3 linked regions of the Zea mays genome follow. The protein of the gene in region 1 binds, or shares a complex with, the protein of each later gene. Links are inferred from orthologs where the notes say so. Each region holds a gene or a part of one and is shown in the gene's direction. Other genes may lie near its edges.

Region 1 (4,300 bases):
GCAATTTATTATCTGACCAAATTTTAATTTAGAGTCAAATATGGTCAAATACTGACCAAATTTTGGCTTGGCCACCTAAGGCTTTAAACCAAATAGAACTAACCAAAATACACTAAAATCTCTCTCTATATCTCTACTATATTAAAATATGAGTTTCAACAGTCGTTCTGCGTCATCTTTTTACAAATAACACATCACATCTACTTCAAATTAACCTGTTGCACGCCTGTCCCCTTAACGGCAGCCTGGCACGGGCTCGACGCCCGCAGACCGCAGCTCTGGCCCAGGCACGACACACCGGCCCGTTAGCCCGTCGGGCCATTTGGTTAAATCAGCATAAAATGTTAAAAAATAGTGTCGAAGGTGGGGTTTGAACCCACGCCTATTGGAAGAATGGCGGGAGACACTAGGTGAAATCGTCTAACCAGTAGAACATCATACTCAGATGTTTTCAATATTGAATATAAATTGTACATGTGTATATATGCTTTTTTGTAAAATTAAAAATATATAATCGTGTCGGGTCGAGGCTACGGCCCAAGCATGGCACAACACTCATGTCGGGCTGGCCTAGACACTATTAAATGGGTCGTGCCTCAGACTAGCCCACCAGACACGACACATTTGATCATCTGTACCTTCGCACGATAATGATAGTACTCGACTCAGTTGTCACCACCTCGTTCGTCATCCTACTTCTTTTCTCTCTCCCCTCATGCCTCCGCCTCCGTGCCACCCCATTCTCGGCGGAGGGTGTGGAAGCAGACGCCTCCTCCCCATATTCGTCTGACACCAGCCCCTACACCGACCCACGCAGTGGCTATTGCACATCCATGAGGACGTTTCATAGCATGCGCGCACCATTGTTTTCGCCGCTGTCGGAAGTCTCGCTCGTCTTTCTGGCCTTCGCCATGTTCTTCCTCCCCAACCTGCTCCCCCGCCCACGGTTGCAGCCGCGAGCCGACCGACGCTCGTCGACACGAATATGGGGTGTGTCGGTCTTGCTCTTGGCCTTTCTCCGTGCGTGTTGCCGAGGAGGACACAATATTGTTGTGAGCCGTCGCAATAAAAAATTGTAAGATCTCTGTACGAGCCCAACCCAGAAGGTTGTACTTTAAATTCTACTCTAGGGGTACAAGGCCTGTTTGGTTCAACTTTTCTGAGAATCTGAATGTGGGGAGAATCTGGATGTGTAGAGAATTTGAGTATCGTTGCGATTATGTGCAAAGAAAGATGAATTTGTCTATAGGGCTCAGGATCTAGAAATTGACGGATTCCTATTATTGCAACGACTCAACCGATTATGTGTTTATATTGATTTCAGATGGTTTTACCAAAATTAATTTTATAGAAGCTAGCTAAAAAGTTGAGCGTTTAACCGTCCACAATAATTTTTGGTGGACAGAAACCGAAAAAACTGAAACAAAGAGGGCTATGAGTGGCCTTCCCACCCTTTGTATCGTTCATTCGTAGCCCGTAGCTCGCAGCCGACTCTGTTCTCTGTACCAGCCCAACCCAGAAGCCTATACTCGTTACGATTACGAGCCCACCAGCATCTCCTCTGCACGGGGGCATTCCACCGAGCACCTCACGTGATCTCCACCCCGCGGCGGCGGCGCGAGCACCGTCTCCGCCTCTCCGCTCTCCGGCGAATCAAACCCCTCCGGCGTTGCCCCTCGGTTGCCTTTCCCCTCCGCCACAATGCGGTTTGACCTGGATGGCCTGCCCGTGCACTTCCCGTACGCGGCGATCTACCCGGAGCAGCACGCGTACATGGGGGAGCTCAAGCGCGCCCTCGACGCGCGCGGGCACGCGCTGCTCGAGATGCCCACGGGCACCGGCAAGACGGCGGCGCTCATCTCCCTCATCACCTCCTACTCCCTCGCCAACCCGGCCCGCCCGCTCCGCCTCATCTATTGCACCCGCACCGTGCACGAGATGGAGAAGACCCTCGCCGAGCTCCGCCTCCTCTTCGCCCACCTCCCGCCCGCGGCCTCCCGCTCCCTCCTCGCGCTCGGCCTCTCCTCCCGCAAGAACCTCTGCATCCACCCGCAGGCGTCCGCCGCCGCCGCCCGGGACTCCGTCGACACCGCCTGCCGCCGCCTTACGGCCTCCTGGGTCCGCGAGAAGGCCTCCTCCGACCCGGACTCCACCCCGCTGTGCGAGTTCTACGAGACGTTCGACCGGGCCGCTGCCGCCGGCGACCTCGCCTCCTTCATGCCGCCCGGGGTGTACACCCTGGCAGACCTCCGCGCGCTCGGAAGGGAGCGCCGGGTCTGCCCTTACTTCCTTGCCAGGCAGATGGTCAAGTACGCCAATGTTGTGGTGTACAGCTACCAGTACCTGCTCGACCCCAAGGTGGCCAGCATTGTGTCCAGGGAGATGCAGAAGGAGTGTGTGGTCGTGTTCGATGAGGCTCACAACATTGACAATGTCTGCATAGAGGCGCTGAGCGTCAGCATCCGCAAGCAGACGCTGGAAGGCGCAGAGCGAAATCTGCGGCGCATCTCGCAAGAGATCGACAGGTACCACTCCCAATTGTTGGATATACTTAAGCCAGCCACCAATAGCCACTGAACGATAGGTCCTGTTTCTTTAGAACTATTCATCTTCAACTTTGTGATGGATAGTTAAGCTTGCTTTGCCAACTGCTTTATCTGGTAGGAAGGTTCAAGGCCACCGATGCCAATAGGCTTCGTGCTGAATACAACAGACTGGTGGATGGACTGGCACAGCGAGGAAATCTACCAAGTAAGCACTGGCCTTTTGCCACCAGTACTGCATTTCGCACTGTCAGCTATAGCCTTCTGCATATAGCTCACAGTATTATGCTTCTTGTGATGAAGTATCGGATGCTTGGCTCGCGAATCCGTCTTTGCCTGATGACATCTTGAAGGAAGCTGTTCCTGGAAACATAAGGAGGGCTGAACATTTTCTTGCTGTCTTGCGGAGGCTTGTGAGATTCCTTGATGGCCGGCTTGAAACAGAAAATGTTGAGAATGAAATGCCAGTTTCCTTTGTTGCCTCAATCCATTCCCAGGCTGGAATCGACCAAAAAATGCTGAGGTTTTGTTATGACCGGCTACACTCCCTAATGATGACATTAGAGATAACTGATACAGATGAGTTCATGCACATACAGACCATATGTGACTTTGCCACACTGATTGGAACTTATACACGGGGCTTTTCTATTATAATAGAGCCGTATGATGATAGAATGCCTGATATTCGTGATCCTGTTATTCAGGTACCCAGACTACTCTTTGTGATCATGCTGAAATTGTATACACACTCTGCTTCTTTAGTGTGCTACTAATGAACTCATTTGTTCTGCAGCTGAGTTGCCATGATGCTTCACTCGCAATAAGACCTGTTTTTGATCGTTTCGAAACGGTTGTGATCACTTCTGGAACTCTCAGCCCAATAGATCTTTACCCTCGTCTCTTGAATTTTAATCCTGTCATAAGCAGAAGCTTCACCATGTCCTTAACAAGAGATTGTATTTGTCCCATGGTCTTGACCCGAGGAAGGTATGAGCTGGTCCCACGCGAACTTCATATTTCAAAATCTACTGTACTGTAGCATGACACTTATGTTAAGCATGGCACTTATGTTAGTCTTTAAATGCTAGCATTGTCAACATATTCTTAGGTTTGGAAATGCTAACACTGTCTTGCGTATACATGATACATTTTTATTCCTGAGAATCATATGACACTTATGTTAAGCTTTTATAACATCTTTAGTTGTTTCCAACATTTCATATTACTGGTAGCATTGTACACTGTGTAAACACCAACCATTCCATCATCTTCAGTGATCAGCTACCTGTGAGTACAAAGTTCGATATGCGTAGTGATCCTGGTGTTGTGAGGAATTATGGCCGCCTCTTGCTGGAAATGGCTTCTGCTGTTCCAGATGGCATAGTTTGCTTTTTTGTCAGTTATTCCTATATGGATGGCATTGTCAACAGCTGGCACGAAATGGGAATTCTGCAGGTTATTTCTTTCACTTGTAAATTTCTTTCTCATATAAACCCTACAATTAATATAGATATGGCAATGAGGGATGTGTCTAATCGTGTAACACCTATGCAACTCAGCTAAGTTCATAAATCGTCCATATCTGTTAGATAATTGGGCATGTCCTCTGGAACATCATCGGTTTATAGTAAGTATATGAAATGGTGTCTAAGCATCTAATTCCATATTGTTGTCTGTTTTAGATTTTCCATTCAACTATCTATATTGATAATAACTTAATAAGACTATAAGTCTATAAGAGTCTCAAGTTGCAT
Region 2 (3,252 bases), on another chromosome or scaffold:
TGTCATTTCTGTTTGGCAATCCTAGGTAGAGATGGTAATGAAGTCCCGTTCCCCGCGGAGATATTACAAGACGGGGATAGTTACAATTTATTTCAATGAGGTATTAAAATGAGAAAGAATCATCTCCATCAGGTTTAGCGGGGACGAGTATGGTAGTCTCTTCTTCGTCCCTAATCCTCACGAGCCCATATAAACAGGCACTAAAGAATTCGGGCCATAGAATTAAGACTCAATGACCGACATATATAAAGTGACCAGCAAAGTGAGAAAACTAGCTTCTATTCTGTCATCGTCGCCGACTCGACTCTCTCGTTCGTCCTCCCAAATCCCAATCTCCCTCGAGCGGGCGGGCCAGGCAGCAGACCAGCTCTCCAGCGTGCTGGGTGCAGGGCTGCACCGCTACAAGCCGTGCAGCACACTGCACATCCCCTCAGGTTTGATTGTTTGAGACCGTCACAGTCATGTTCACCTGGAGGCTGGAGGCCGCTGGCCGCAGGTCTCTCACTCTCTTTGTCTCCTCAATTACTACTACCTAACACATCTTTGGTCACTTGTATTAGCAAATCTTGGGCAGCGGCACATCTGCACATGCCGTGCATTCATATAGCCACGTCCATGCTGCACGCACAAATTTTATTTTGTTTGATAATTACTTCCCCACCAAATGAGCTACGTTCTTGTCCAAAATTATAATAAATGCGCAAGTGATTTGCTGTGTGGTGGTGTGAAGCTCTGCGCGAAGTGATTTGTGTATTTTTTTCTCCTTTTTCATGAAATTTCGCAATTTAAGGTCATCTAATTTATTGGGTATGAGTACGACAGTTTAAGTATCAAATTTATGAATACCTAGTACCTAGTTAATCAGCAACCTTGCAGACCTAAAATATCCTAGATTTGTAGTAAGTTTTTCACCATCACCTTTTCAAAATTCTGTTACACAGTGTGGTTCCTCACTGAATTTTAAGTACTGTCATATGACAATTTGGTTCTGCTATTGCTGGACATAAATTTGTAATTCTCTGTTCACGCATTACACCGAACAACTACAGGGTACGGAGGGATTCAACGACAAACATAATAATCGCTTCTATTATTTTCGTAGGGGCAAGTAGGCCAGTCATCAACCGAGGTCAGCTGAGTCAGGAGAGGAGGAAGTGGCCCTCGGGTGTTCCATGATTCGTACGCAATTTTTTTTTTGGAAATTTAGATTCATACCATTAAAAGATCACCACTTTGGATCCATACCATTACTATCTCACTTATATATAGGTCCACATGAGTCAATGACATGTGTGATCCATGATATATATCTAAAGTTTGGATCTTTTAATGGTATAGATCTAATTGTTCTTTTTTTTTTTTGTGGACGGAAACTGCGGTGTCAAATTGCAAGAAATGGGTCGGACCGTGGGCTGTGAACATGGGTTTGGTGGGCGGGCGAAGAAGCCAGCGGGCCCAGCATCTTTATCGTCTGCCGCAAAGAGGGCTGAAGGAGAAGCGAGGAAAGGTGAGGCCGATAGATAGAGGAGCTGCGGCGCCGCCGGCGAGCGAAGAGTGGAGGATCCGATCCGAAGCGAGAGGACTGAATCCTGCGGCCGGGAGGGACGCGGGACCACGACGAGCGTCGTCGTCGGTGCCAAGCAACGGTGAGGCCGTCTCGGATCTGAACTTTTTTGTTTGGTTTTTTTCCCTCCCGTTCTGAATCGACATGGTGAGAGCAAGAGAGTTGGGAATTGGGACGGATCATGGAACTCCCCGAGGGCCACTTCTTCCTCCGACTCAGCTGACCTCGGTTGATGATTGGCCTACTTGCCGCTACGAAAATAATAGAAGCGATTATTATGTTTGTCGTTGAATCCCTCCGTGCCCTGTAGTTGTTCGGTGTAATGCGTGCACAGAGAATTACAAGATATCCGCTGAGATTATGCGCGCAAGAAAACGTGGAGCATCTTGCTGACCCTTTGTTCTGTCCTTCAACCAATCCTACAATCACTGCGACACCAGTCTATCACCTTCATGCGCGTCGTTTTCGTGCGAAAAGTTTGCAGTCCTGGTGCTGCTTCTTTGGTACTCCAACTGACGTTGTTTCTGTGTGGCGATGTAACCAGGCAGTTGTCCCTGTCCAGAGCACAGGCAAGATGGTTAACGCGATCAAGGGGCTGTTCATCTCCTGGTAAGCTCTCCTGACGCAGCTGAAAATGAATCCCTCGTTTGCATTTCTCCCTCTCTCCCTGCCTTTACATGGTTGCCGTCCGTCCGTCCCTCTATTTTTCAGCGACGTACCTATGGCACAGTTCATCGTCAACCTGAACGCGTCGATGCCGCCGTCGGAGAGGTTCATCGTGCACATGCTCGACCCTACCAACATGTTCGTGCAGCCTCACGTGGCGCACATGATCAGGAGCAAGATCGGGGAGTTCAGGGACCAGAACAGCTACGAGAAGCCGCAGTAGTGGAGGATCTACCGCGTCCTACACTCCTTCCTTGGGACTTGCTTTCGTTGCCTGTATTATTTCTGCTGTGAGCTGAGCACCTCAGCGGAAACGAGTACGCCAAATAGATCCCACCTGTGGCCTTGAAATCATACTGCTATGTGCTATAAACGTGCAGAGGGCACTGCTACTGTGCTGCACTTGTGGTATTCTGGGATTCTTTTTGTCAGGTCCTTAAAATCCGTTGAGAATTTGAGATCCAGATGGGGCTTAGACCCCGTTTCAATCTCACGGAATAAACTTTAGCTTCCTGCTAAACTTTAGCTATATGAATTGAAGTGCTAAAGTTTAGTTTCAATTACCACCATTAACTCTTCTGTTTAGATTATAAATGGCTAAAAGTAGCTAAAAAAAGCTGCTAAAGTTTATCTCGCGAGATTGGAACAGGGCCATAGTCACGTATATCTGTGCCTTTATTTGTATGTATCTTTGTCTTGCTATGGACAACAAAACTACGGTGGCACACTAACAGGTAGTTTGGAAATCCAAATCCTCTAGAGATCCCTATATTTTCCCTCGGTGAGTAATCCTAGGAACATTATCTGCATAAGGGCTTGCTTGAGAGCAATGATATTCAAAATTGAATAACATGAGAATTTTAGACTCTTATAAGCCCTTCTAGTATTCTTGCTCTCAAACAAACCCTAGGATTAGGGCTGGAAACGAGCCGAGCGGTGCAGCTCGGTGGCCGACCGAGCTCGGTTCGGCTCGTCTGTTTCACGAGCTGGAGAAACAGGCTCGGTTCAAAGGCGGCTCGCGA
Region 3 (4,241 bases), on another chromosome or scaffold:
GTGCCTGGGCCTCAACTTAAGCACACAGACCGGCCTGACACGACCCATTTAACTAAGGTACACTAAAGCCTACTAGCAATTCTATCCGTCCGATAGTATGGCGGCGCCGCCATCCAACGACCACTAGCCATTCGACCATTTCCCCACCATTTGGTGCATTTCCGGATTCCCCAAGGCCCAAACGCAAGTCACCAAAACGGCAAAACTAGACAACCCGCCGACCGCCGCAACCCTAAACCTAAAGTCCTAAACGGCTAAACGCTCAGTCGCTCACACGTAGAGATGGTAATGGATACCCGAAACCTGAATACTCGACGGGTTTTACCCGATATGAAGGCGGGTACGGGATGATTTCTCTACCCGCAGATATGTTAATGGGTAAAACCTCTACCCGTTGGGTAGACGGGTATGGGTACGAGTTGGTACTACCCGTACCCGTCTACCCATGGGTAAAATATGCCCGCATCAATACCACTATAACCATCTAATAGAGCTCATCCTAGCTAAAATAAAACTCTTCTTTTACTATCATTTGTCTAGATACCAAGTTATGTGATTATATGATTTGTTATATGTGAAGTTGATTTTTTTTGCATGTTTATTTAATATTTTGAGTGATTGGTATATTGAAATTTAAGACTTTCCTATCGGGTTCGGGTTGCGCGACGGGTAAAAATACCCGCGCGGGTACGTGTATGGGTAAGATTTTATACCCGCAAACATATATGGGTAATCCGACAGGTAGATTTTTTTTGATAGATACGGGTATGAAATGATACTATCGGACGGTTGGACTGGGCAAAAAGAATCGGAACCGAGGAACCGAAACCGAACTAACCGAACCGAGGAACCGTTATGAAATTTGGTTCTGTTTTTCTAAGAACCGAAATAAATGAGACATTTTCGGTTCTGCACTCCAAAGAACCGAAAAACTCAAAAGTATTAGATTCAATTTGTTACATGTGTTTGTAACTTCGGATGTTGTGTTATCAACTTATGTTGAACCTCTAATCATCCATGTATTATTTATGAAATTATGGTCATTGCGCACTTGTGGTTGTTTATGGGGAGATGTTGCTGAAATTTGTCACAAAAGTTGTCGTTATTCAGAATTTTAGAGTGACTGTTATAGTTCGGTTAGAACCGAGGAACCGAACTGAAGAACCGAGAACCAAATTAGTCGATTATAGTTTTTTTTATCTTACTATTTCGGTTCTAGTTTTTAAAGGACCGAATTTCTACAAGAACCGATGAACCGAACCGAATAACCGAACGCCCGGTCCTACCGGACGGGTATGCCCGTTGCCATCCCCACACGCCGCTCACACGCCGCCTCCCTCGTTCTCGCGCCGACGCTCGCCGCACCGCCTCCCTCTCCCTCGTTGTCGCGCCGCCTCCCTGTCCCTCGTTCTCGAGCCGCCACACCGCCTCCCCAGCCGGCCAGGTAACACACGGCGGCTCTTCCCTGCTGGGCTTCGGAGCTGCCAGTCTGCCACGCCGCCGCCCCAGCAGAGAGGCGAGCACCCCCGCCGGCGCCTCGGAGCTTTGAATTGGCTGGGCGCGCGACCGGCCTCTGCCGCCGGGCCGCGAGCAGCAGCAACCCCCCTCGCCGGCCATGACCTCCGCTCACTCCAAGCTCTACTCCGGTGAGCCACGCGCCACTCTTGCATCCCCGTACTCCGCGATGCCCTCATGGTCCTAACACACACGCGCTCAACCCATCTGGTGCCACCCGTCGGCGCGTGCAGATGACGTCAGCCTCGTCGTGGTCGTCGTCGACACGAACCCCTTCTTCTGGGCCGCCGCGGCGCTCCCCTTCGCCGACTTCTTCGCGCACGTATGCAACCCTAACCCTCCATTTGCTTCCCTGCGCCTGCTTCCTTGTTCGATCTTCACTGGCGATTTTGTGCGTTAGATGACTCGTTGGTAGCGGTGCCCTGATCCGTCCATTGGGCCTTGGCTTGATGTGATATCCATGCCCGTGCAGCTGATCCACTTCGTGAACTCCCTCCTGCTGCTGAACCACCTCAACCGTGTGGTCGTCATCGCGGCGGGAGTCAGCTCGTGTGCCTACATCCTGGATTCCAGCGATGCCAGCCCCTCCGGTGGTGTGGCCGTCTCGGACACCTTCGACAAGGCAAGCCGCAAGGCGGAGGAGTTCATTGCACAAGATGCGCGCGCCACTGCAGGCAACGGTTCCGTTGCTTCTGCCAATGCCGCGTCGCTGCTCTCTGGGGCGCTGTCCATCTCTTTGTGCTGTATCCAGTCGCTTGAATTCCTTGACTATTGCACATTCACCTATCTTATTTGTGCTCGTGTTGCTTAACATTGAGGTTATTTAGATATACAGAGGATTTTCCGGTCTGGGTCTCGGCATCCACAACCTCGGGTGAGTGTAGAGTTCTGAGTAATGTTTAATTTCATCATTTGTGATCAACAAATAATGCTTTGTTTGGCCCATAATTTGTTGTAGTCAGTATTCTCATACTTATTATAATGCCACGGCAGTTGATACTAACACGAGATACAGATTTTGTGCCTGCAGGGATCTCCAGACGGACCTGAACAGTATGCACGCATCGTCATCAATGCAGTTTCTAGTTTTTTTTCAGGACCTAGTTTTCACTTCATCAAATTTATGTGCAGATATGTGGCAGTGATGAATTCAATATTTTCTGCTCAACGTTCCATGGTATCACATCAATTGCTTAATCCATTTTAGTCCCATTGAGATTTATTGATCTTTTCGTTTCACCAGCCAGTCACTATGTTGTTACTTATTACTCCTTCTGTCCCAGTATATAAGGCGTAACCACCTCTGGCTCAAAGACCAAGAAATGTATTTAATTCTCTCTATACTTTTGCATCGATGTACGCATGTCTAGAGATAATACGCCTTGTATTATGGGACTAGAATAAAAAGTAGTTACACCTTATACACTAAGATAGAGTAAGTACTTAATATCCAAATTTGACACATGTAGTGGGTTCAGAAAGAGCAAGACATTGGAATGTGCCTATGTAGATATGCATCCATAATTGTTCCAAAACTTTAGCTACGGTGGCTTAATGACTGGCAACATTCTTACTAATCTCTTAGGTACCAATTGACTCTTGTATTGTGGGAACCCAGGATTCTGCTTTCTTGCAGCAGGTAATGCTCTTTAGTACTCATCAAATTCATCCACATGTTATACTGTCACAACATCCTCTTGCTGACTAGTTACCGATATTTCATTATGCAGGCTTCGTACATAACAGGAGGAGTTTATTTGAAGCCACAAGAACTAAATGGCCTGTTTCAATACCTTGCCGTAAGTTATCCAGGCTCCCTCTGCTGATATTAATATATCAGCTCATATAGTTCTATTTTTCCTTTTGGGGGCTTTTGAGAATGTATTTATATCCCTACTACTCTATAAGTCCTCATTGTAGGCGTCCACATGTGCGTCATGTTCTGCCTCTCGACGCCCGCCTGCCCGCGCGTCCCGCTCCTGCGCGCCCCCGCTCGTGATGCCCGTCCCGCCTCCCCGCTGTGGCAGCCGCCTTCGCGTCCACCGCGAGATCCCCGCCCTTCCCATGGAACCCCGCTCTGCACCCCTCCCAGAGCTCTGTCGTGTCATCCCCGCCCTGCCCCCCCTCGAAACCCCGTTCCCTCCGGCCCCGCCCTCGCCCTCCTCCCACTCCGACGCACTCGAGAAGCCGTTAGCCAACGCCGCCGCTTCCACCTCTGAGTCCTTCGTGGCGCTCAAGGCCCATTATCCCCCGCCTCCCCCTCCCGTGCCGCCTAGGTCTCGTTGGATAAGATGTCGATCCGGGGTCGATGAGCACTAGACCTTCTCCGATTCTCTAGCGACCCTCCCCCACAACCACGGTCTCGCGCGAGCTTGGTCGGCTTCGTCAGCGAAGCTAGGCAGCAGGCGTGGGCAGTCGGGCTGGTCCAGGGACGCCAGCTCGCATCTGTCGGTTTCCATCCGCAAAGGTAGCAGCAGACGTCGCCGTCGACTGTCGCGGGCACCGACGACCAACACCACCTTCCCTTCGGCCCAAGATCAGCATCTGTAAACGCCTTTGACCGTCTGTGCCTCGATCCAAGCTCAAACCACGGGCAAGCAAACACATCGCATCTCCAACCTCCTCGGTTCGGTCGGCTACCCCAGATCGACAGCTTTCAGGTGTGTGTTCCCCTATTTTTTTATTTTTTGGATGAACACTAATGGTTATGAGGTGAATAAAGTGGC

The links.
Region 2: DNA repair helicase UVH6 (region 1) and REX1 DNA Repair family protein share a complex: the UniProt entries of both Arabidopsis thaliana proteins name them as parts of the 7-subunit TFIIH core complex. The link is inferred for Zea mays from reciprocal best matches to the Arabidopsis thaliana genes UVH6 and AT1G12400.
Region 3: DNA repair helicase UVH6 (region 1) and General transcription and DNA repair factor IIH subunit TFB4-like share a complex: the UniProt entries of both Arabidopsis thaliana proteins name them as parts of the 7-subunit TFIIH core complex. The link is inferred for Zea mays from reciprocal best matches to the Arabidopsis thaliana genes UVH6 and AT1G18340.

The regions. Positions count from the first base shown.
Region 1 is NC_050105.1:91,195,941-91,200,240, forward strand, and holds the start of DNA repair helicase UVH6, read left to right. Parts: upstream 1-1,476; 5' UTR 1,477-1,701; coding exon 1,702-2,525; intron 2,526-2,668; coding exon 2,669-2,751; intron 2,752-2,846; coding exon 2,847-3,250; intron 3,251-3,339; coding exon 3,340-3,533; intron 3,534-3,820; coding exon 3,821-4,001; intron 4,002-4,300. UniProt on the Arabidopsis thaliana protein: ATP-dependent 5'-3' DNA helicase, component of the general transcription and DNA repair factor IIH (TFIIH) core complex, which is involved in general and transcription-coupled nucleotide excision repair (NER) of damaged DNA and, when complexed to CDK-activating kinase (CAK), involved in transcription by RNA polymerase II.
Region 2 is NC_050101.1:47,599,506-47,602,757, reverse strand, and holds REX1 DNA Repair family protein, read left to right. Parts: upstream 1-1,460; 5' UTR 1,461-1,646; intron 1,647-2,108; 5' UTR 2,109-2,138; coding exon 2,139-2,173; intron 2,174-2,275; coding exon 2,276-2,453; 3' UTR 2,454-2,692; downstream 2,693-3,252. UniProt on the Arabidopsis thaliana protein: Component of the general transcription and DNA repair factor IIH (TFIIH) core complex, which is involved in general and transcription-coupled nucleotide excision repair (NER) of damaged DNA and, when complexed to CAK, in RNA transcription by RNA polymerase II.
Region 3 is NC_050099.1:247,477,471-247,481,711, reverse strand, and holds the start of General transcription and DNA repair factor IIH subunit TFB4-like, read left to right. Parts: upstream 1-1,409; 5' UTR 1,410-1,615; coding exon 1,616-1,646; intron 1,647-1,748; coding exon 1,749-1,837; intron 1,838-1,987; coding exon 1,988-2,258; intron 2,259-2,333; coding exon 2,334-2,389; intron 2,390-2,530; coding exon 2,531-2,568; intron 2,569-2,646; coding exon 2,647-2,692; intron 2,693-3,100; coding exon 3,101-3,154; intron 3,155-3,245; coding exon 3,246-3,314; intron 3,315-4,207; exon of another isoform or gene 4,208-4,241. UniProt on the Arabidopsis thaliana protein: Component of the general transcription and DNA repair factor IIH (TFIIH) core complex, which is involved in general and transcription-coupled nucleotide excision repair (NER) of damaged DNA and, when complexed to CAK, in RNA transcription by RNA polymerase II.